Saccharomyces cerevisiae S288C: one gene and its partner. The protein of the gene in region 1 purifies or fractionates together with the protein of each later gene. This does not show direct contact. Each region holds a gene or a part of one and is shown in the gene's direction. Other genes may lie near its edges. The genes, in order: POP8 and RMP1.

Region 1 (11,971 bases):
TTGATGACTTTCAACCTCTTAGTTTTTTTTACTAATCACTACTTAATACATAATTATTGTGTAAACATATAAATATACAGTACTACCTGTGAATTAACTAGACGTCATGCGTATTGATTAACTCCCTCCATGAGCGCAAAAAGTATAAATATGCAAGAAAAAACAACGCATTGGATAAAAGCTTTATAAACATAAAATCATAATCATATCATTTCCTTTCTTTTTTTTGTTAAATACTCATCTCTCGGTTTGCGCACAAACACTAGTCAACTGGTTCCCAGCTGTCGACCTTCATTGTACCCTTTTCAGCTAAGTTGGTGTGGAACTTGAAAGCATTCTTTAGCATGTGTGGTTCATGCAAGCAATTGTGCTTTTTAGCGTAATGCTCTGCTCTGTCCAAGTAATCGGTCAACAAAGCTTGATAATCGGGATGAGCACACTTGTTGATGATTTCACGGGCTCTTTCCTTAGGCGATAGACCTCTTAGATCCGCCAAACCTTGGTCAGTGACCAAGATGTCCAGGTCATGCTCAGTTTGATCTACATGAGAGGCCATAGGAACAATGGTAGAGATACCGGTAGGGTCTACTTTAGTTGGTCTTGCAGAGGGGGCATGCATGATGGACAACTTTGCATTTCTCAAGAAATCAGCAGATCCACCCAACCCGTTCAACATACGGGAACCATTCACATTTGTAGAATTGGCGTGCGCGTAAATGTCAACTTCTACTGGGGTATTCATGGCGATGACACCCAATCTACGGATCATTTCCGGATTGTTCGAGACAACTTGAGATCTCAAACACAATCTGTGTTTGAAATTTTCCCAGTTTGCAAAGGCTCTGTCGAAACCCTTTTCAGTCAATCTCACGGAAGTAGCAGTGGCGTAGTCCAAAGATCCGTTCTCGAAAAGATCCAAGAACGAGTCCTGCAGCACTTCCGTCCATACAGTCAAGTGCTTGAATTGGGCGCCAGCAAGCCCTTCAATGACAGCGTTAGCAATGTTACCTATACCACTTTGTAAAGGCAGCAGGTTTTCAGGTAGCCTACCATGTTTTACCTCGTTTCTGAAAAACTCGACCAAATGACCTGCAATAGCCCTGGACATGTCGTCAGAGGGCGTATTTGGTGGGACCTGGTCCCTCATGGTGGACTCCACAATCGCAACAACCTTTTCAGGATCAACCGGGATGGAGTCAACACCACACTTGTCGTCCACTTTCAGATATGGGTATGGTTTCCTGAAAGGTGGGTTCACGGGCATGTCTATATCGTGAATACCCTCGAACGAAGGCGTAGCCGTGTTAACCTCAATAATCACTTTATCACTGACTGTAATGAATTCTGGAGAACCACCGACAGAGGGACCTGGGACGATAGACCCGTCCTCTTTAATGGCCGTTGCCTCGATTATAGTATAATCAAGGATTTTGTTGTCTTTTCTTTCCCTGGTGTAGAACCCGTATGTCAGATCCTGAGGGAACATGGACAGATGTTTATCAAAGAACTCAATTCTACCCTGGTTAATTGCCTTTGCAATGGGTTTCCCTACTTGATGAGGGGCTCTCTTAATGATCATGTCGTGTTCAGCCCAACGGTTTTCCTCTGGACCAGCAGAAGCTCCAACAAAAAGGTTGAATCTCAACTTCCCTTGTAAATTGTTCTTCTCCACGTGATCTATCAGTGCCTCCGGCACTGCCTTGGGAGTACCCACTCCTGTAAAACCGGACCACCCAAGGTACTGACCATTCTTGAACAATGGAATAAGCTCGTGAGCTTCCTTAACTTTTTTCAGATAGGGAGCATACCTAACTCTCTGCTTTAACAAATTAGAAATTGTCATTTTAGTGCAATATGTGAAAAAGAAAAAAAGAAATGTGTTGTTTGTTTTGCCGCTATTGTCTAGTAAGACGGTCTCTTGCTGCTTTGTGTGCTAATGTAAGCCCGGTGGGCACAAGACAAAAGAAGGGGTAGAACACATCTAACGTCTATATATACACAGCAACTTGATTACACATTTGCTCCAGCAAGCGCTTACCGTCCACAATACAGTGGTCATCCATACAATCACTACTTTGGTAGTTTGACGCTCCGATGGGATTGGCTGTTGCGGATGTGGTTGAGGGCGTTGTCCTCGAGGCCAATCAGCAGCGCGCATTGCCCGCCTTTGGCCCGGCGGGCCGCGCGTCGCAGGGGATGATGCTAGTCACCTATATGGATCACCCCTTGTGGTTCTTCATTTTTTTTTTCTTCAATTAACAGCCGCCGACGGCCCGTGGCGCGCGATCACGGAGTTGCGTAACTGCTCCCCTTAGCTCCATATAAGTATTGTCCTTTTATACGTCCGCGTCCTCAGCGGCTAATACGTATGTCATATGTACATATGTATATGTGTACGTATATGTATATGTATACATTGTTCTTCGGGTTGATATTTTAATGATAATGATGGCTAACTAAATATTTCGTTCCAAATGAGTTTCTTGAGGTCTTTCGTCGTTAGTGCCTCCTTGTAGTGATCAAACTCGAAGAAGCTGGGTGGGATGGGTTCGCCTTCAGGTTCGTCGTTTGGATCGTGGTATGTTTGCAAATACGGATGCTCCAGTGCCTCCTTAGCAGTAATCCTCTTCGCAGGGTCAAAAACAAGCATACGCTGTAAAAGATCTATGCCTTTCGGGTTGACTCGAGGGAACATCTTCTCCAGTGGCGCGGCAGGGTACATGGGAAGCGACTTTATGTACTCTCTAGCCCTGGGTGACTCTATACACCGCAAATCATTATCTGAGTGAGGTGTACCGATGATACCGAATATCAGTAGTAGTTGATGGCGATAATCTCTGCCAGGGAAGATTGGCCGTCTTAAGAAAAGTTCAGCGAGAATACATCCGCAGGACCACACGTCCATGGCCCTTGAGTATTTGGCAGAGGTTAACATCACCTCTGGCGCCCTGTACCAACGTGTGGCCACATACTCGGTCATGCCGCTTTGCTGACCTGTGGGCTCTGAATTGTCCGCGGCTGACTCGTCAATGATTCTTGCTAAACCGAAATCACATACTTTCAAGTCACAGTTGGAGTTTATGAGAAGGTTGGAGGGCTTTAAATCACGATGGATGACGTTCGAACCATGCAGCACTTTCACTGCTCTCAAGGTTTGGTATATAAAATATTGTATATGATCGTCACTCAGCATCTGGGTGGAGATTACACGGTGTAAATCTGTCTGCATTAGCTCTTGAATTATGTAGACCTCATTGAAGTTTTCGAACGAGTCAGGGCGTTGAATGTTGAAGATTGTTATGATATTTTCGTGCTTGAAGTGCTTCAGGATCTTTATTTCACGCAGCGTACGTAATGCGAACAAAGGCTTATCGAATGGTTCGATCTTTTTTATTGCCACGATTTCTCCCGTGGGCTTATGCGTTGCAGAACATACCACACCGTATGCACCCTCTCCCAGTAACGACTTCAACTGGAAGTCACTGGATATATTGTATACAATTCTCTTTGGCATATTATTTTCCTTTCTTTTTCTCTGCCTTATTTCCTTGTAGTTCAAACGAACTAGCTATTAGAAGAAAGAAAATGATTACAACGTATATATAGTTTCTGAGAGGCAAGAGTAAAAAGTTATGATATATTAGTATGTTGCTTTTCTGCAATTGTTTCAATGCCCTGTAAAAAACCGCATCATCTAAAATCTGAGAGAATGCAGAAACAAAAAAAAAAAAAGTAAAAATTTCGAGTAAAAGAATTTTGAGTTCCAGGGTGAAACAGATCTAAAACTCAAGAGCTTATGCATTGCTTGTAGGTACATCACATTTTACTTCAGAAAGATAAAAGAGTATGTGAAAGTAAACTGCCCTCTCCAGTTAACTCTTCCCAAACTAAAAAGTATCCGCCTGTGCGGACTACAAGCACTACCGCCCCTTGAATGAACACCAAAAGATGTGTGTAAGTTAAAAAGTCCGAACGAATTTATCCTTATGTATGTTCTTTTGAACGTCAAGTAGTCAATCTCTCCAACTACTCGGGTCTTTATATGGATCGCGTGATGTTTTAAGCCTTCTTTCCTCTAGTTTAGTGCAGTCGCTGCTTTTTTCTCGGGCTGAGTACGGCGAAAAGAAGGAAAAACCAAGGTCAAAAAATAACCTCTAAATAACAGCATGATGCAACAGCTCAAAAGACCTCTCAAGAAGCACAAAAAAAGGAGGCGAGTAGGTGGTACTATTTCATTCTACTAAGATCTTTAAAGCAATTCCTTTCCGGTTTTTTTCTCAACTACCGTACTCTTTTTCCTTTTTTATTTTGCCCTTAGATTGTATTATAAAGCTCTGTATATCTGGAAAAGCCCTGAAGTGTCCAGTAGTCATCACACGTTATGATATTACTTCATTTTGTCTATTCTCTTTGGGCCTTACTTCTCATTCCTTTAACTAATGCCGAAGAATTCACCCCCAAAGTGACAAAGACTATCGCGCAAGATTCATTTGATATATTAAGCTTTGATGATTCCAACACTTTAATTAGAAAACAAGACACCTCCGTTACTATAAGCTTTGACGATGGTGAAACATGGGAAAAAGTTGAAGGCATTGAAGGCGAAATCACTTGGATATACATCGACCCCTTCAATAGACATGACAGAGCCGTTGCAACGGCAATGAATGGGTCGTACCTTTATATAACCAATGATCAAGGTAAGTCATGGGAGCGTATAACGCTACCTGACTCCGGAGAAAGTATTTCACCTCGTGAATGCTATATAGAAACCCATCCCTTGAATAAGAACTATTTTCTTGCAAAGTGCAACTATTGTGAGAAAACAGAAGTAAACAATGACAATGAAGAGAATTCGGGGGACGAAGAGGGACAATTTGAAATATTTAATATTACACGTTGCACAGACAAGGTTTTTGCAAGTAATGATGGTGGAAAATCCTTTTCTGAGATCAAGTCTTCTCTAGAAAGGAACGAAAATAGTCCTATCAGCATTTCTGATTGTGGCTTTGCCAAGACCAGCAAAGATTCTGACCTTGAAAGTAGTGATACCTCAATAATCTGTCTTTTTCAAAATATGCAGCTTATTATGGATGAGTTTAGTTCTCCTTACACCGAAAGTAAATTGGTCCTAACTACGGACTGGGGCAAATCACTAAAAGAATTTGACCAATTTAAAGATAAGGTCGTCAATGGTTACAGGATATTGAAATCTCACATGGTTGTCTTAACCCAGGGCGACAGATATAATGATATGTCTTCCATGGATGTGTGGGTATCAAATGATCTGTCAAACTTTAAAATGGCTTACATGCCTACTCAGTTAAGGCATTCTATGCAAGGAGAAATATATGAGGACGCTATGGGAAGAATTATCTTGCCCATGAGTAGGGAAAGAAGTGATCAAGAGGAGGATAAGGGCATCGTGTCTGAAATTTTAATTTCCGACTCACAAGGGTTAAAATTTTCCCCCATCCCATGGACCGCAAATGAGGTGTTTGGTTATATTAATTTTTATCAACCTACTTACTTGAAAGGAACGATGATTGCCTCACTTTACCCTCTATCTAGGCGTCGTAACCGTAAAGGAAAAGCCAAAGGAGTAAAGAGTAAGGGGGTAACCAAAATATCTGTTGATAATGGCCTCACATGGACAATGTTAAAAGTTGTTGATCCAGATAACGCAGACTCATTCGACTGTGATATTACTGATTTTGAGAATTGTTCGCTTCAAAATATGTTTTACACACGGGAGGGTTCCACTCCAACCGCCGGAATTCTAATGACAACAGGTATTGTTGGCGATGGTAGTGTCTTCGACTGGGGAGATCAAAGAACCTTTATTTCTAGGGATGGTGGCTTAACATGGAAACTCGCCTTTGATTTTCCTTGTTTATACGCTGTTGGTGATTACGGAAATGTTATTGTGGCTATACCGTATAATGCGGATGAAGACGACGATCCTCAATCCGAATTTTATTACTCTTTAGACCAAGGTAAAACTTGGACCGAATATCAGCTAGAAACTACTATCTACCCAAATGAAGTAATGAATACAACGCCCGACGGATCTGGAGCTAAATTTATTCTAAATGGGTTTACTTTGGCGCATATGGATGGTACAACGAATTTCATCTATGCAATTGATTTTTCAACAGCCTTTAATGATAAGACATGCGAAGAAAATGATTTCGAGGATTGGAATTTAGCTGAGGGGAAGTGTGTCAATGGAGTCAAGTACAAGATCAGAAGAAGAAAACAGGACGCTCAGTGCTTGGTGAAGAAAGTTTTTGAAGACTTACAATTATTTGAGACTGCTTGTGACAAGTGTACCGAGGCTGATTACGAATGCGCGTTTGAATTTGTTAGGGACGCGACCGGGAAATGCGTACCAGACTACAACCTAATCGTTCTCTCTGACGTATGTGATAAGACAAAGAAAAAAACTGTGCCTGTAAAACCATTGCAACTAGTTAAAGGTGATAAATGTAAAAAACCAATGACAGTCAAATCAGTGGATATTTCGTGTGAGGGAGTTCCAAAGAAGGGAACGAATGATAAAGAAATAGTGGTTACAGAAAACAAATTTGATTTCAAGATTCAATTCTATCAATACTTTGACACAGTCACCGACGAATCCCTCCTCATGATCAATTCAAGAGGAGAAGCTTATATATCTCATGATGGTGGACAAACAATAAAAAGGTTCGACAGTAATGGTGAAACAATTATTGAAGTTGTGTTTAATCCATACTACAATTCTTCAGCTTATCTGTTTGGTTCCAAAGGTAGCATTTTCTCTACCCATGATAGGGGATACTCTTTTATGACTGCTAAATTGCCCGAGGCTAGGCAGTTAGGTATGCCATTAGACTTTAACGCTAAGGCACAGGATACATTTATCTATTATGGTGGTAAGAATTGTGAGTCAATCTTAAGTCCGGAATGTCATGCGGTAGCATACCTGACCAATGATGGGGGCGAAACGTTTACGGAAATGCTTGATAATGCAATTCATTGTGAGTTTGCGGGCTCACTTTTCAAATATCCGTCAAATGAGGATATGGTTATGTGTCAAGTGAAGGAAAAGTCTTCGCAGACAAGAAGCTTAGTTTCTTCTACTGATTTTTTCCAGGATGATAAAAATACCGTCTTTGAAAATATTATCGGCTACTTATCCACTGGTGGCTATATCATCGTTGCTGTTCCTCATGAGAACAACGAATTGAGAGCATACGTAACTATCGATGGTACTGAGTTTGCCGAGGCAAAATTCCCATATGATGAAGATGTTGGGAAGCAAGAGGCATTCACTATATTAGAGTCTGAGAAAGGATCGATATTCTTACATTTAGCAACAAACTTAGTACCAGGACGCGATTTTGGCAATCTTTTGAAATCCAACTCAAATGGTACTTCTTTTGTCACGTTGGAGCATGCCGTTAATAGAAACACATTCGGCTATGTTGACTTTGAAAAAATTCAAGGTCTCGAAGGCATTATTCTCACCAACATCGTTTCAAATAGTGACAAGGTCGCCGAGAATAAAGAAGACAAACAATTGAAGACGAAGATCACCTTTAATGAAGGTTCAGATTGGAACTTTTTGAAACCTCCGAAGAGGGATTCAGAAGGAAAAAAGTTTTCTTGCAGCTCCAAATCACTGGATGAGTGTTCATTGCACTTACATGGCTATACTGAACGTAAGGATATTAGAGATACATATTCTTCCGGTTCTGCATTAGGAATGATGTTCGGCGTTGGCAACGTTGGTCCTAACCTTTTACCATATAAAGAATGTTCCACCTTCTTCACCACCGATGGTGGCGAAACGTGGGCTGAAGTTAAGAAGACTCCTCACCAATGGGAATACGGTGACCACGGTGGGATTTTAGTTTTAGTTCCTGAAAACTCAGAAACTGATTCTATTTCCTATTCTACCGATTTTGGTAAAACATGGAAAGATTATAAATTCTGCGCTGATAAGGTTTTAGTAAAGGATATAACCACTGTTCCCAGGGATTCTGCTTTGAGATTTTTGCTGTTTGGAGAGGCAGCAGATATTGGAGGCAGCTCATTTAGAACGTACACAATTGATTTTAGAAACATCTTCGAAAGACAATGTGATTTCGACATCACTGGTAAGGAAAGCGCAGATTATAAATACTCTCCTCTGGGTTCCAAAAGCAATTGCCTATTTGGTCACCAAACCGAGTTTTTACGTAAAACCGATGAAAATTGTTTTATTGGGAATATTCCACTTTCTGAATTTTCAAGAAATATCAAAAACTGTTCTTGTACAAGACAAGATTTCGAGTGTGATTACAACTTTTACAAAGCTAACGATGGTACTTGTAAATTAGTCAAAGGACTAAGCCCAGCAAATGCTGCAGACGTTTGTAAAAAAGAGCCAGATTTAATCGAATATTTTGAATCGTCAGGCTACAGAAAGATCCCTCTATCAACCTGTGAGGGTGGCCTGAAATTGGATGCTCCCTCATCACCACATGCTTGCCCAGGAAAAGAAAAAGAATTCAAGGAAAAGTACTCAGTAAGTGCCGGTCCCTTTGCATTTATTTTCATTTCAATTCTTTTAATAATTTTCTTTGCCGCATGGTTTGTATATGACAGAGGTATCAGAAGAAATGGGGGATTTGCAAGGTTTGGAGAAATTAGGCTAGGTGACGATGGTTTAATAGAAAACAATAATACTGACAGAGTTGTCAATAACATTGTGAAATCAGGATTTTACGTTTTCTCAAATATCGGGTCTCTTTTACAGCACACAAAAACTAATATAGCGCATGCTATCTCCAAAATTAGAGGAAGGTTTGGAAACAGAACAGGTCCAAGCTACTCATCCCTGATCCATGATCAATTTTTGGATGAAGCAGATGACCTGCTTGCTGGCCACGATGAAGACGCCAATGACTTATCCAGTTTCATGGATCAGGGTAGTAATTTTGAAATCGAAGAAGATGATGTTCCAACACTTGAAGAAGAGCATACATCATATACAGATCAACCTACGACCACCGATGTTCCAGATACATTACCAGAAGGAAATGAGGAAAACATCGACAGGCCTGATTCTACAGCGCCATCTAACGAAAACCAGTAGAGAGATTACTTTACATAGAGTAGATAATTCCATATACTTTTCATAAACAAAAACGAGCAGATCCTTTAGACAGAATATCAAGTTCTTTCACAAGCCAAAGAAACTTGGCATGATCAGTACTGGTGCAATTCAAATAACTGCAAGTACTGAATCTCCATCTTCAAAGCAGAACCGTAATAATGCGTACAAGGAAGCGGGTGGGATATATCATATGTTACGGGAAAGTGGTTGTTTGACTGAAGATCATCGAGAACGTCATAACTTCAATACATAAGTCATCGCGTAATTTTACAAGCTTTACTGTTCAGCTTTATAGGATAATCAGAATAAGAAAAGGCAGATAAATAGTTTGATAAATGGCCAGTTGTGATGGGGAAAAAGACTTTTAGAGAATGGCAATATTTCAAGTTATCAATGTATGTATATTTTTGACTTTTTGAGTCTCAACTACCGAAGAGAAATAAACTACTAACGTACTTTAATATTTATAGTACTTCATTCGATCAAGATGTGGACGATGCACATGCTATTGATCAAATGACATGGAGGCAATGGTTAAATAACGCATTGAAACGTAGTTATGGTATTTTTGGTGAAGGTGTAGAATATTCATTCCTGCATGTTGACGATAAGCTGGCTTACATCAGAGTAAATCATGCGGATAAAGATACATTTTCTTCGTCCATCAGTACATACATATCTACTGATGAACTCGTCGGTTCACCATTAACAGTGTCAATTCTACAAGAATCTTCCAGTTTGAGACTTCTGGAGGTTACTGACGATGACCGCCTATGGCTGAAAAAAGTAATGGAAGAAGAAGAACAAGACTGTAAATGTATATAGAATATCAGTTTATTATTTAAAAAAACTTGGGCATAGAAGAAAGTGTTTTATTCTCCCAAAATATCAGCTGACGTTTTCATATTTAAACCCACTGAAAAAACCCACAAGATGATTCTGTATTATTTGAATCACCCCGAGATCTCTTGCAAATCCAGAACTTTCTACCTGGATTGGCCGAAGTTTTCGATGTTTTCAGCATGGATTCCTCCCCATGCCTGCACAGGGGAGGCTTTCCAAAGACATCCTTGAAATTCAACTTTGGCGTGGAGATTCTTTTTTTAGCTTGCTGTGGAATTTCAGAGGATTCTTTAATCCTGTCATCTTTTTCTCCATTTACCTTCTGGAAAAATGAGTCGAGCGATTTGTTTTTGATGTTGCTGTTTTTTTTGGTATTCATGACTTTTGATACACAATATTTTTGTTTATTAGATTCTTTATTCGTATCCTTTTTGGCAAACATCTCTAAAACATTATGGTTTCTTAAATTATATTTGTACCTTGCTTCGAATTTTGGTATGGGAACTTGTGTCGTACCAGGTTCAATTCTGTCGTCCAGTATATCTAAATCAGAATACACAGGACAATGGTCAGAGCCCAATATATCCGGAAGAATGTCAGCTGCTTTTATGCATCGTTCAAGCTTTAAGGACACTAGGATAAAATCTATCCGTGAGCCATAATTCGAAGGTCTTAAATTTTTTAACATATTCCAGACTGTATACATTTTAAGTCGATTTCTTGTTTGAATTAGCCTCGTAGTGTCTATCAGTATCCCCCTTTTACTCGCGTCTGGTAAAAGTGAATCAGCCAATATTTGATTAAATATCCTCCGATGTGGCGTGTCCGGATTGATAATAAATTGGATTGCTTTATCCCTATATTGTGCTTCTAACTTTGTTCCACCCATGGGATCTGTTATTGGAATTGAGAATTGTTCTAATGTATCGGCACTGTCTATAAGATCCCGGCAAACATTTACGTCGCCCATTAGCACAATCTTCTTCCCAATTTTGTCCAAATTCCGAACTCTTCTTAATAAAACTTTCAAGAACCTTAATCTAAACATCTCACCCTCCTCCGATGAGTTCGAATTTGCGGGACAATATACACTGATAATAACTATTCCACATGCCAGTTCAACCATAACACATCTGCCTTCTGAATCTAGTTCCAGTGCACTTTTCTCATCTAAATCGGGATCTAAAGAATCGTAACCACCAATTCCTTGATTTACGTCGTTTCTATAGGAGATTGCTGAATGCTTACCATTTTTTATTGTCAAGTAACCCGTTATACCTTCTTCTGCCTTAACGACTTGTAATGCATGGTATAGTGGGTGGTTCTTTTCCGGAATTCTAATCCAGCAGCCAACGCCAGAATATCCCTTTCTGGTTTGAGGGATAGAAATAAAAGAATAAAAACCATCAACTCTCCCCCACTTAGAGATAGACAATTTTTCCGTCTTGAGCTCTTGGAATGTTATTATGTCTGCTCGAAAAAAGTCGAAAACAGATCTAAGGGATTGATTCATTTGAGAAAATGGTTGATAATGAAAAAAGGTTCTTATACCATTGACATTGAAAGTTAAAAATCGTATTGTGTTCTCTGACTTTCCATCCAGTAACGTGTTTTCGCTTGATGACATAGTGTCCTGACAAGGAAAGGGATTTTCTTTACGGTGAAATAGCTTCTCTCTTGGTTGCCTATCTTTTATTGGGTAATTTTTCAGCACTTTCACATCATATAGTACATACAAACTAACTTTCTGAAGGACTAATAAATAAAAAAAAATGAATGCTTTTTGATAATATACTCACTATATGTTATTTAAGCGCATATTATGTGTCGCCTAAGTTATATAAGAATTTTTGTTTATACATCTTTAGAATTGGAAACCGCCCTCTTGTTAATAAAAGATTGTATGGTTTGGCGCTCCTTGACCAAAATTAACGCTAACAATCCCATTGCGAATAATACGTTAACAACAAATTGTTGTAAATTTTT
Region 2 (12,327 bases), on another chromosome or scaffold:
CCAGCGGATCAAGATGACGAAGAGTTGCCGCCCTTACCTGTGGAGGCACAAACAGGAAACGATGGTCCAGGTACAGCGGAAGGAAAAAAAAAGCAAAAGAGTGCTGCTGTTAAGTCGGCGCTATCAAAAACGCTTGGTCTCAATAAGTAATTTATTAATACACAAAGATATATTATTTTAGTATATATATAAACGAAATGCCTTTTTTATTTACATGTGTCGGAAATAGAGTAGATGCGGTAAAGAGGGGGAGGGGGGGGGGGTATGCGGTTTTGTCATTACTCTTTTCCGTTAAACTTAAAAGCTTAAAACATCATTGATAAAGGTTTTTAGTGAGGTTTCACTGGGGTTCACATTGATGAAATCTAATTGTCTGTAGGAGCCATTGTTCAAAAATCCGCGGCTGATATCTGAATATTGAATGATGTATTTATCATCTTGGGCAGTGTTCGTAGGAAATCGTAAATTCAAGACACGATGGGTCAAAACATCAGTCAATTGGTATTGCTGTATTAGGTTATCTGGTAAAGAAATGTTGATTTTTTTCATAAGATTCTGATATTTGTTTAACTTCCAGTGTGACTTGAGAAGAAATTCTTGGAGGCCTTTTTGTTCAGATAACCAAGCATCCGGATTGGTCTGGTCGAAATCAGGTAAAAGATCTTGAATGTAATCTGACGTGATCTTATAGTCTGTCTGGCATTGTGGAGTTCTTAAGATAACAGAATTTTCTTGTAATTTCAAAAGAGGCCTCATTGAGGTGGTAACAATGTTATCGAATTCGTCAATCTCGAACCAAATCTGCAAAAAAGGGGACGAGGAGGAGCCAGAGGTGGGCGGCACAGGAGTGAAGTTCAGCTGTATGAAGGATTGATGCGCATTTGTTATTAGATGTTGATCAAGAGGCACAGGCACAGGTACGGCTGATGATGATGATTCTTTGTACATTGGTAGATTCAGTAATTTTGAAATAAAACTCTTATGTATTAGAGGTTGGAAAATACTAGAAAAAGACGCGGACTGTAAGGAGTGACCTAGCGTTATTGATAAAGATTGGGAAATAGAGTCGGAAGGGGAGAGAGATGGTATATTTTTAGACAAGGAAGATTCGAATTGGCTGACCTGCGCATCTGTCAATTCTGGTGTGGCGTTTTCAGTGGGAGTCATCAGATCTGTGCAATTTTTAGGGACAACTGACTGTAATCTTGCCCAATCTTGTGACTTGTTTAGCCAGTCCAAGTTCTCTAGAGTATTGTTGAACGGATAGAGTTCTGTCTTGAGTGCTGGTGAGGCTATTGTGTGGTGGTGTTGAGTTGTGTTAGGATTAGAAGCGACGGCATTTAATAAAAAGACTTTGGCCATGGATATTTTCTTGGTGCTTAGGGCTGAAATCTTGTACATTTGCAAGTCCGGGAGGTATTCAAAAAAAGTGTGAGTTTCCTTCTGAATAAGGTTGATGACGTCTTTTGATGGCATGAGGGAATACATACGCACATTTTCATGAGTGATGTTTGACCATATTTTGTTTAAGGATATTTCTGCGTATTTGAGCAAGCTAGGCGAACCCTTGACGGTCAATTCGTTATCCTGAATGGAGATGATGAATGTCAGCCCGAGCTTATTGAAGTTGGTGAGTATTTTACCATTTTGAGTGATGAGTAAAAGGAAAATTTCTCTAGGAGAATCGAACTGGAAAGTCAATGATGTGGACTTGATGCCTGTGGGAGTGGTGGGTGTTGAAATTGGTTGGCAATTCCAGATTTTTTCAATTATATATTGGGACAGCTTGCTTTTCTTCCAGTGCGTCAGATGTGAAGAGGAGTCTGGCTGATGTGTGGAGATGAACTCGCGCAGTTGGTAGCGATTGTAGCTTGATGTAAGCGATTGGAGAAGGGCATTGTATTCCAGGGAGGGCAGACTGGCGCTTGTCGGTTTCTTCAATCGGATGGAGTTCAATGCGGAATCTAGTGAATTCTGCTTTTCGAAGACAAGGAGTTTCGAGCCGAAATCGAGGTTGTTATCTCCAGTTTCCTTATGGCTACGTTTCTTAGACGGCCTGTGTCTAGGCTGCTTCTGATCATTTTTCACTAGCCCAGATTGGGTAGGGTTCAAGACGACGAATTTCAGATTTTGCGGCAGTTTCTTCTTCCCATGAAGGGGCGAGCTTGGGCCTGAGCTTGAATAAAGACGGTAAGTAAGACGGGCGAGCTTTTTGTTGAATTTCCACATATGCTTACTCTATATTTTCTCCAGTGCCTTCAAGCTCCGTATATATTATGTACTAGTTTTATTACATTAAAGATACATAACTTTTTTTTTTTTTTTCAGTTCACTGAAATAAGAAAAGGCGGGCGAGGTGAAAAACAAAAAAAAAAGTATAGAGAAACAGAAGTGGAAGAAGAGCTAGGAAAGCACAGCGCATACGACGGTCACCTAGGATGGAGCACCAACAATTGCGGAAGTACGTCGAATTGTACAATAAGGAGGTCGAGGAATTCTACAATGGTGCCGCGTCAGGCCGCCCAGCTGAGTTCCATCCTTCCAAAGTACATGTAAAGAGCATCCATGAAAAGGCGGGTACCGCCAATGCTGGTGTAGAAATCTCTAGCGTTGGTGTAGACTGGGACAGCGAGGAGAAGAATACCTTTTTCTGGTGCCTTTCACGCTATAGTATCCACCGTGTAGACGAGTGGCGCTCATTGTTGCCTCGGAAGAGCGCCATGGAGATTCTAGGTTATTACAGGTTGTTAAGGAGAGCGAGTGCGAGCGCGAGATCGCGTAAGGCGGGTGACGACGGAGCGCCCATTGCGTACGAAATGAGCGCTGAGTGGGTTGCCCTGGAGACAAAACTGAGCGAGACAGTGATGGCCATCACGGAAGGCGCAGCCGAGGTTGCCGATGAGGAAGGACACTGCGAGGGCCTTATCGATTATGAAAGCTGGAAACGCAGGTGGGTGGCCATCTACTCGCACAGCCGTATCGCGGAGATAAGACCCTTGCCCCGCCACGCGCTGCCGCTATCGCGCAGCGCGACGCAGACTTTGGAGCGCTGCGTAAGTCGCTACACACGTACATTGCTGTGGTGCACGGCCCTTGCGGGTATGGCTTCCCGCAGCGTCAGCGCCAGGGCGGCCGAATCTCGAGGACACAAGTCGCTACCGACGGTGGTAACTCGCCGGCAAGTTGAGCGTGCACTATGCACAGAAGCCCGATCACGTGACCTACACGTGCTTCCAAGGCGCATTGTTTTGACACTGCGCAAATGGGAACTAGACTATCCGCGAGAGGGCAAACTGTTCCGCACCAAGGAGATGGCACATCTGTTTCTACAAAGCCAGTTGTCCAGACGGGATGCGCCCCCAGTCCATCAAGACGAAAATCAAGAAAATCAAGAAAATCAAGAAAATCAAGAACAAGATAACACTGCAAGTGAAGGTGAAAGCGAGGCAGAAAGGGATGAAATCGACGAAGCGGACTTGTTCCGATCAGCATTACATGAAAATCAGTTGCTAAAATGGTTATCCAAATGAGACACAATGCGAAAAATCGCGCAGGGACATAATTTTTGTTTTCATTATTCTTTCGCTTATTCCCTCCGTTAGCTCCACCGCTTTTTTGATTGGAATTTCCTTTCGGCAATGGCTTTCCGGTTACCACGCCTCGGGTTTCGCATCCCGAAAAGCATATCTACACAAGAAAAATGAATGATAAACAATTGATGAGTGGCGCTATTTCCCTTATCATCTCATTATTGTACTTAGTATCGTCTATTATCAGGAGAAATCGCATGAACTAAGCCCATTTTCTCACCCTTCTGCCTTCTTATATAAAGCTTGCTGGGAACCGAACACAAACTCCACAAGTCCGTAGCAGCTCTTCTCTTTTGTCTTTTATATATCATAAACATCGCTACATAGTAATAACACTAACGCACGCTAGAAATGATAGCTTCCAAAAGCTCCTTATTAGTTACTAAATCGCGCATACCCTCTCTATGCTTTCCTTTGATAAAGAGGTCCTATGTGTCAAAGACTCCGACACACTCTAACACGGCTGCTAATCTGATGGTTGAAACTCCGGCCGCCAATGCCAACGGCAATAGTGTGATGGCACCTCCTAACTCAATCAATTTTCTACAGACACTTCCCAAGAAGGAACTATTCCAACTGGGATTCATCGGTATTGCGACCTTGAACAGCTTCTTCCTGAACACGATCATTAAGTTGTTCCCTTACATCCCCATCCCAGTAATAAAATTCTTCGTCTCTTCTTTATACTGTGGCGGTGAGAACTTTAAAGAGGTCATCGAATGCGGCAAACGTCTGCAGAAGAGAGGTATATCGAACATGATGCTTTCATTAACTATTGAAAATTCCGAAGGTACAAAGAGTTTGTCCAGTACTCCAGTAGACCAAATTGTCAAGGAAACAATCAGCTCTGTCCACAACATCCTACTGCCCAATATTATTGGCCAGCTGGAATCTAAGCCAATCAATGACATTGCTCCAGGTTATATCGCTCTAAAACCCTCTGCTTTGGTCGATAACCCTCACGAGGTTCTGTACAATTTCAGTAATCCCGCCTACAAGGCTCAAAGGGATCAGCTGATCGAGAACTGCTCTAAGATTACAAAAGAGATTTTTGAACTAAATCAATCTTTGTTAAAGAAGTACCCTGAAAGAAAGGCCCCATTTATGGTTTCCACTATTGACGCTGAGAAGTATGATTTGCAGGAGAATGGTGTTTACGAATTACAGAGAATCTTATTTCAAAAATTCAATCCCACTTCATCTAAACTGATATCATGTGTCGGTACTTGGCAGTTGTACCTAAGGGACTCTGGTGACCATATTTTGCACGAATTGAAGCTGGCCCAAGAAAACGGCTATAAGCTTGGGCTGAAACTGGTTCGTGGTGCTTATATTCATTCTGAAAAAAACCGTAACCAAATTATCTTTGGCGATAAAACGGGCACTGACGAAAATTACGATCGTATCATCACTCAAGTTGTCAATGATTTAATCATCAATGGCGAGGATTCTTATTTTGGTCACTTGGTTGTCGCCTCTCATAATTACCAATCCCAAATGCTCGTTACTAATTTGCTAAAATCTACCCAAGACAACTCTTATGCCAAATCGAACATTGTGTTGGGGCAATTACTAGGTATGGCAGATAATGTTACCTATGACCTAATTACCAACCATGGCGCTAAAAACATAATCAAGTATGTCCCATGGGGCCCACCATTGGAAACTAAAGATTATCTTTTGAGAAGATTGCAAGAAAACGGGGATGCTGTGAGATCTGATAATGGCTGGCCATTAATCAAGGCCATAGCAAAGTCGATTCCAAAAAGAGTAGGCCTATGAGAGGACTATAATATATACTCCAATTTCAAAGACAAACCAAAAAACCAAAAAAAAAAAAAAGTATGCATACATAATTCTGATGTTCTAGTTATACATATTATATATAAGTAATGATAATAACACTAATAGTAAAGTAAACGCACGGATATCAAGAGTTAATATACTTGAACCACTTAAATAACAATCTGTTGGTAAAGCTTTCTTCCTATTGATTATGGGTTCGAATAGTACCAGATGTTTTGCCAATCCTAAATCGGTAGGAAAGTGGCTTGTCGTCGTCAGGCTTATTATCAACTCTTATGCACAAGAAAGGTACTCATCTTCTATAAACTACATAAGACCTGAATCTAATCAAAGGGAGAAAGCGCAGAACATCAGATTTAAAGCGGTTTTGCTTGATACACTCAGCCTTGTCTCTTTGTAAGGATTTTGGGGTACCTATGAATAATACATCTAGTAGTGTTAGTAAACCAACGTATGGGATTTTGGGATACATAGTTTTCCAGTGTTTCTTATCCGTGATAGTTTAATGGTCAGAATGGGCGCTTGTCGCGTGCCAGATCGGGGTTCAATTCCCCGTCGCGGAGAATTTTTTTAAGCTTCTATTAAAGAAGCTTTTTTTCACTTATATCTGATGGATGATGAATAGCTAGTTCAAACGGAAATCTTTGATAAAGCTATATCAAAATTCAAAGCCCAATAAGTCAGTATCATGAAGTTTATAGCATTAATATCAGGTGGGAAGGACTCGTTCTACAATATTTTTCACTGCCTGAAGAACAACCATGAATTGATTGCCCTGGGAAATATATACCCAAAAGAATCAGAAGAGCAAGAATTAGACTCTTTCATGTTCCAAACAGTAGGACATGACTTAATAGACTATTATTCTAAATGTATTGGTGTTCCACTATTTAGACGCTCAATATTACGGAACACTTCTAACAACGTCGAGTTGAATTATACTGCTACTCAGGATGATGAAATTGAAGAACTATTTGAACTTCTAAGAACTGTCAAAGATAAAATTCCAGATTTAGAAGCTGTTAGTGTAGGTGCCATCTTATCGTCTTACCAGAGGACCAGAGTGGAAAATGTTTGTTCCAGATTGGGTCTAGTAGTGCTAAGCTATTTATGGCAAAGGGATCAAGCCGAACTAATGGGTGAAATGTGCCTTATGTCCAAGGATGTTAACAATGTTGAAAACGATACTAATTCAGGAAATAAATTTGACGCCAGGATAATCAAGGTGGCAGCAATTGGATTGAACGAGAAACATTTAGGAATGTCCTTGCCTATGATGCAACCGGTGTTACAGAAACTTAACCAACTTTATCAAGTTCATATCTGTGGAGAGGGTGGGGAGTTTGAGACAATGGTCTTGGATGCCCCTTTTTTCCAACATGGATACTTGGAATTAATTGATATTGTCAAATGTAGCGATGGTGAAGTTCACAATGCAAGGTTAAAGGTAAAATTTCAACCGCGTAATTTGAGCAAAAGTTTTTTACTCAACCAATTAGATCAATTACCTGTACCTTCGATTTTTGGTAATAATTGGCAAGATTTAACCCAAAATTTGCCAAAGCAACAAGCTAAAACAGGAGAACAAAGATTTGAAAATCACATGTCGAATGCTCTACCACAAACGACAATCAATAAAACCAATGATAAGTTGTACATCTCTAACCTACAATCACGTAAAAGTGAGACGGTCGAGAAGCAAAGTGAAGATATTTTTACTGAGCTAGCCGACATTCTGCATTCCAACCAGATTCCACGGAATCATATTTTATCTGCGTCATTATTAATTAGAGATATGTCTAATTTCGGAAAAATCAACAAAATATACAATGAATTTTTAGATTTGTCAAAATACGGACCTTTGCCACCATCAAGAGCATGCGTAGGTTCGAAGTGCTTGCCAGAAGATTGTCACGTACAGTTATCAGTTGTTGTTGATGTAAAAAATACAGGCAAAGAAAAAATCAACAAGAATAAGGGCGGACTACATGTTCAAGGCCGTTCATATTGGGCTCCATGTAATATCGGACCATATTCCCAAAGTACTTGGTTAAACGATGATGCAAACCAAGTCAGTTTTATCAGTGGGCAAATCGGACTAGTACCGCAGTCAATGGAAATATTAGGAACACCTCTCACTGACCAAATAGTTTTGGCATTACAACATTTTGATACTTTGTGTGAAACAATAGGAGCTCAAGAAAAGTTACTCATGACATGCTATATTTCAGACGAATCGGTTCTCGACTCTGTCATCAAAACATGGGCGTTTTATTGTTCAAATATGAATCATAGATCAGATCTATGGATGGACAAATCTGATGATGTTGAAAAATGCCTAGTTCTTGTAAAGATTTCTGAATTACCTAGAGGCGCTGTTGCAGAATTTGGTGGTGTTACTTGTAAGAGATTAATAGTGGACGATAATGATTCCGACAAGAAAGAAAGGGAAGAGAATGATGATGTTTCAACCGTATTCCAGAAATTGAATTTGAATATTGAAGGTTTTCATAACACTACAGTTAGTGCGTTTGGATATAATAGAAACTTTATTACGGGATTTGTAGATAGTAGAGAGGAGTTAGAACTTATCTTGGAAAAAACCCCAAAATCAGCCCAGATTACCCTCTATTATAATCCCAAAGAAATCATCACTTTCCACCATCACATTGGATACTATCCGGTGGAGAAACTTTTTGATTACCGTGGTAAAGAACACCGCTTTGGGTTGCATATTCGTTCCTAACTCCAAATGTAGGCCTTATATTTTATAAACTTAATAGATATACGCTGTCCACGCTCCTGGCGGTGTAAATGATAGACAGATCCCAAATATGTTAGCAAATCATAGGAACAACACCATATTGTGAACACGTAAAATTTAGAATACGCCGCACAATTAAGGTGTGTTCTGTAATAATTTGATTATTGATGATGGTTTAGGAACCAATATTCATATAAAAAAATGATCATTCTATAAAATACCTTATCGTAACACTTGTACCATGCTACTAACACTGTATATATTTCTGACCCCTAAGAAAAAGCACCTGAATAAGCTAAAGACCAAGTTAAGCTTTGCCCATTGTCTAGGAAATTTCTGTTGAAATCAGGTTGGCTGAAAAAGTCGTACGAAAATTTTGGATCAAGCAGAGCCATATTTAACATGATTATTCCTTTCCAACCGTCATTCACTTGATCAATTATCGGCTGCATTTTTTCTTCCCACTCCTCTTTGACAAAATTTGGTGTTCTGACCCATGAAGATGCTGATGTTATAGGAATGGCGTGAATCATATGAATGTATTGAGGCTCCATGCCAAAATACGTGGCGTGATCAATTTTATTTTCGAATAAAATACCACTAACTTTATTACCAATAAATTCTTTCGGTTGGACAGTATTATTGCTTTCGTATAGGAAGTAGCTCTGGAAAACATTTCTCATGATGCCGAGTTGTAAGTTCGCTATGTCAGTTAACTTAGAATTTCCAGTTACCAACCCCCACAATTTTATCGCATAGCAAGAATTGACATCTTCTGAAGTAGATTCTTCATCTTTACCGTCACCACTTGGAAATAGTCCTTTGGCCCATGAATGGCCATTAAACCAATCAAATGACCTAAATTGAGGGAAGTACGGATCATCGTTGTCAACACCAGAGTAATCTCTAATTAAGCACTCAACCCAATCTCTATTATTTTCTAACCAGGAGTTGTTAGTAACTCCACTTAAATCAGAATCGACTAAAGAGATAATGGCAGCCGTTATGACATGATAAGAGTAATGAAAATGATGATCATTATAATAAGAGTTACCAAAGTCTTGGCTAGAAGAGCCTGATGAAATTATGCCTTTCCAACTAACGTCGTAATTTAAAGGTAAGACTTGCTGATTGCTGATGAATCTCTCCATTGCAATAGTCAGTTTAGATAATAATTCTTTTGTTAAATTTTCATCATGAAGGATGTAATGTGTCACATAAAGAATCCACGCATACTTTGCAAGTATCTTACCAGAGAAATACATAGAATCTATGTTTGATTCTTGTTGAGGGTCACTCAATTGAACTTCTTGAACAGCAGCTTCCCGAATTTTAGATAGCTTTTCTTGACTGTAATCTGCCTTCTTATTCAAAGATAACGCGACAGGTTCAAAGCCCAATTCTTGAGGTACTTGAACCTGCATATCAAAACTGTTTGTGAGATAACCAGTCATTAAGCCTTTAACTGTGGAATCCAGGCTTGAGGCAATTTCACGTTCCTGCATTTCTGGTGTGAATGCCGCTTTATGATGTGGTAAAGCATACATTAGAGTAGTTCCAGACTGCGAGTAGCCTGCAACCGTATAGTTAAATCTGTAATTTGTGAAATGTTCATCAACAGTTTGCCCTGATAGGTCACAGTATACTGGATAACAGCCCGCTGCCATGTCAATACTGGGGACGGAGTCTGCAGATAATTGACAGATAAGACCATTGATTTTATGAGATGATATTATTGTATTGCTGTCGAGTAATGAAATTTGAAAATCTTGTGGAAAAGAGTAATCAGGTGAGGTCAAATAAAGTATCCAATTCCTATTATTCTCAAGTTGTATATTATATTTACCATATCTTTCATTCACGCTTATGCGCTCTAAGCTCCTGAAACCAACGGCGCTTCTTAATTCAAAACCCAAATCGTGGTAAATAGCCGTGACAAAGCCCATCCCCTGAACCAGCGGGAATTCTATAAACTGGGAACTACTCAAAGACATTAGTAAGCACATGGACATATGTTTCATATCCCGGAATTCAAGCTTGATATCATTTGAAGAGACAAATTCCCTGGCCTTGAATACAAATGATTTTATATTTGTGGGATTGAAGTAGAATCTGGGAGGATTTGTAGTTGTATCAAAAACCCTTTGAGACGCTAAAGTATGATTGGCGGCCAAACCAAACAATTCTGGATCACGAGAAAACCAAATTGAATAAGGATGTGTCCATATAGGTTGTGTATTATCGTCTAATAACATGTTTGTGTAGAACTTGTTTGTCTCCAATGGATCAACAGATTGATCATCAATATTCGGCTTTGGTACCGGGTGTTGAACTTTGTTGAAGACGGAAGGAGGAGCTTTTAAGTTAGAAAGGACAGGTGATTGAAAAATATTGTCACTATTCACCTGGCTGTCAGCTAAAGGGTTAGAACTGCTTGGTGTGCGCAGTGATTCACCTGCCACCCTATTTTCTCGAGGTTTACTGGAGTTCTCAGAAGAACAAACTGGTGGCTGAACATTTGCGCGAGGTGGTAAGGGAGGAGGTCCTCTATTGGTAGTACCGCCAGGTCTATTAGGAACAGGTGGAGGAATGGCTTGCCTACTGTAACACATCTTTTTACTTCTCGTATTTATTTATTTTTGTTTTTATGATACTAGCACTTTTCAGAAATTCATGAATTTTATTTATGGTTCCAAGAAAAAAACTTCAAAGAAATGAGTACTAGAATGATATATCCACAAAAAAAAAAAGAGCAGAAACAAAATGGATGAGATGGATAATGTGATACGATCTCTGGAGCAAGAATATCGGTTAATATTGCTCTTGAACCATAGGAACAAAAATCAACATAGAGCGGCTAGCTGGTATGGATCGTTCAATGAGATGAAAAGAAATTGTGGACAAATAATAACGCTTTTTAGCTCGAGAAGATTACAAGCCAAACGCCTTAAAGATGTTGAATGGGTCAAGTTGCACAGGCTATTACAGAGAGCACTTTTTAGACAGTTAAAGAGATGGTACTGGCAGTTCAATGGCGTAATTGCGCTGGGACAATTTGTAACGTTGGGTTGTACACTAGTAACATTGCTGGCAAATGTGAGGGCACTGTATATGAGATTATGGGAGATTAATGAAACTGAGTTTATAAGATGTGGATGCTTAATAAAGAACTTACCGAGAACAAAAGCAAAATCGGTTGTGAACGATGTCGAAGAACTTGGAGAAATTATAGATGAAGATATTGGCAACAACGTTCAAGAAAACGAACTAGTGATAACGTCTATACCAAAGCCTCTGACAGAGAACTGTAAGAAGAAAAAGAAAAGGAAAAAGAAGAACAAATCAGCCATTGATGGCATATTCGGATAAATATACAAGTAAATAGACTTTTTAAAATAATAATATCAATGCTAATAAATCATTCATTAATGACCTTGTCTGCCCAAGTAGGCAAAACAAACGCACTAGAATGTATTTGAGGATTATAGTACTTCAGCTTCCCTTGTTCTTGCTCAGATATCTTTCTTTGCGGAATGTTCAACGGTATATTGGCGTTATTACTGCAAACAATTAAACCTAATTGGCCAGATGTATAGGTTGGAACCATGGTATAGCAATATTCTGTATTAGGAAATACCTTTTTGGCTGTATTTTTCAAATCATGTAAGTATTTTAAATTTAACCAAAAATTTTCAGAGCTTTGCATAATAACAACGCCATTAGGATTTAAAGCATCTTTCAATAGTTCGAAATACCTCTCTTGAAAAAACGCTTCAGCTGGACCTTCAGGATCAGAACTATCTGTAATAATGACGTCAAATTTCTTATGGACGTCGGAAGCACCTATATCTTGTAAGAACTTGAAGCCATCGCAAAGTTTCAAGTCCAACCTTTCGTCATCGAAAGCACCATTACTCAATGTGGGCAAGAACTTACGGGATAATTCGATCACTGATGAGTCAATTTCTACCATAGTGATATCTTCTACACAGCTGTGCTTGGCTACTTCCCTTAAGACACCTCCGTCCCCACCGCCAATGATAAGTACACGCTTGGGATTAGAATGCGCAAACATGGCAATGTGGGTGATCATCTCTTGATAGGCAAACTCATCAAATTCCGTACATTGGACAATACCATCGAGGACCAAAACAGTACCGTATACCT

What was found.
Region 2: the proteins of POP8 (region 1) and RMP1 purify together in Saccharomyces cerevisiae (affinity purification with mass spectrometry; 2 studies listed by BioGRID). This does not show direct contact.

The regions. Positions count from the first base shown.
Region 1 is NC_001134.8:183,994-195,964, reverse strand, and holds POP8 (ribonuclease P), read left to right. Parts: upstream 1-9,490; coding exon 9,491-9,537; intron 9,538-9,612; coding exon 9,613-9,967; downstream 9,968-11,971. Other genes in the region: ACH1 (acetyl-CoA hydrolase), read right to left, coding at 263-1,843; mitogen-activated serine/threonine-protein kinase FUS3, read right to left, coding at 2,453-3,514; PEP1 (type I sorting receptor), read left to right, coding at 4,382-9,121; DNA-(apurinic or apyrimidinic site) lyase APN2, read right to left, coding at 10,050-11,612; RFT1 (glycolipid translocation protein), read right to left, coding at 11,840-11,971. UniProt on the Saccharomyces cerevisiae protein: Component of ribonuclease P, a protein complex that generates mature tRNA molecules by cleaving their 5'-ends. Also a component of RNase MRP, which cleaves pre-rRNA sequences.
Region 2 is NC_001144.5:421,245-433,571, forward strand, and holds RMP1 (Rmp1p), read left to right. Parts: upstream 1-10,923; coding exon 10,924-11,529; downstream 11,530-12,327. Other genes in the region: NHA1 (Nha1p), read left to right, coding at 1-150; SLS1 (Sls1p), read right to left, coding at 298-2,229; RRN5 (Rrn5p), read left to right, coding at 2,439-3,530; PUT1 (proline dehydrogenase), read left to right, coding at 3,942-5,372; DPH6 (diphthine--ammonia ligase), read left to right, coding at 6,085-8,142; ACF2 (endo-1,3(4)-beta-glucanase), read right to left, coding at 8,433-10,772; SPE4 (spermine synthase), read right to left, coding at 11,579-12,327. UniProt on the Saccharomyces cerevisiae protein: Functions as part of ribonuclease MRP (RNase MRP), which is involved in rRNA processing in mitochondria.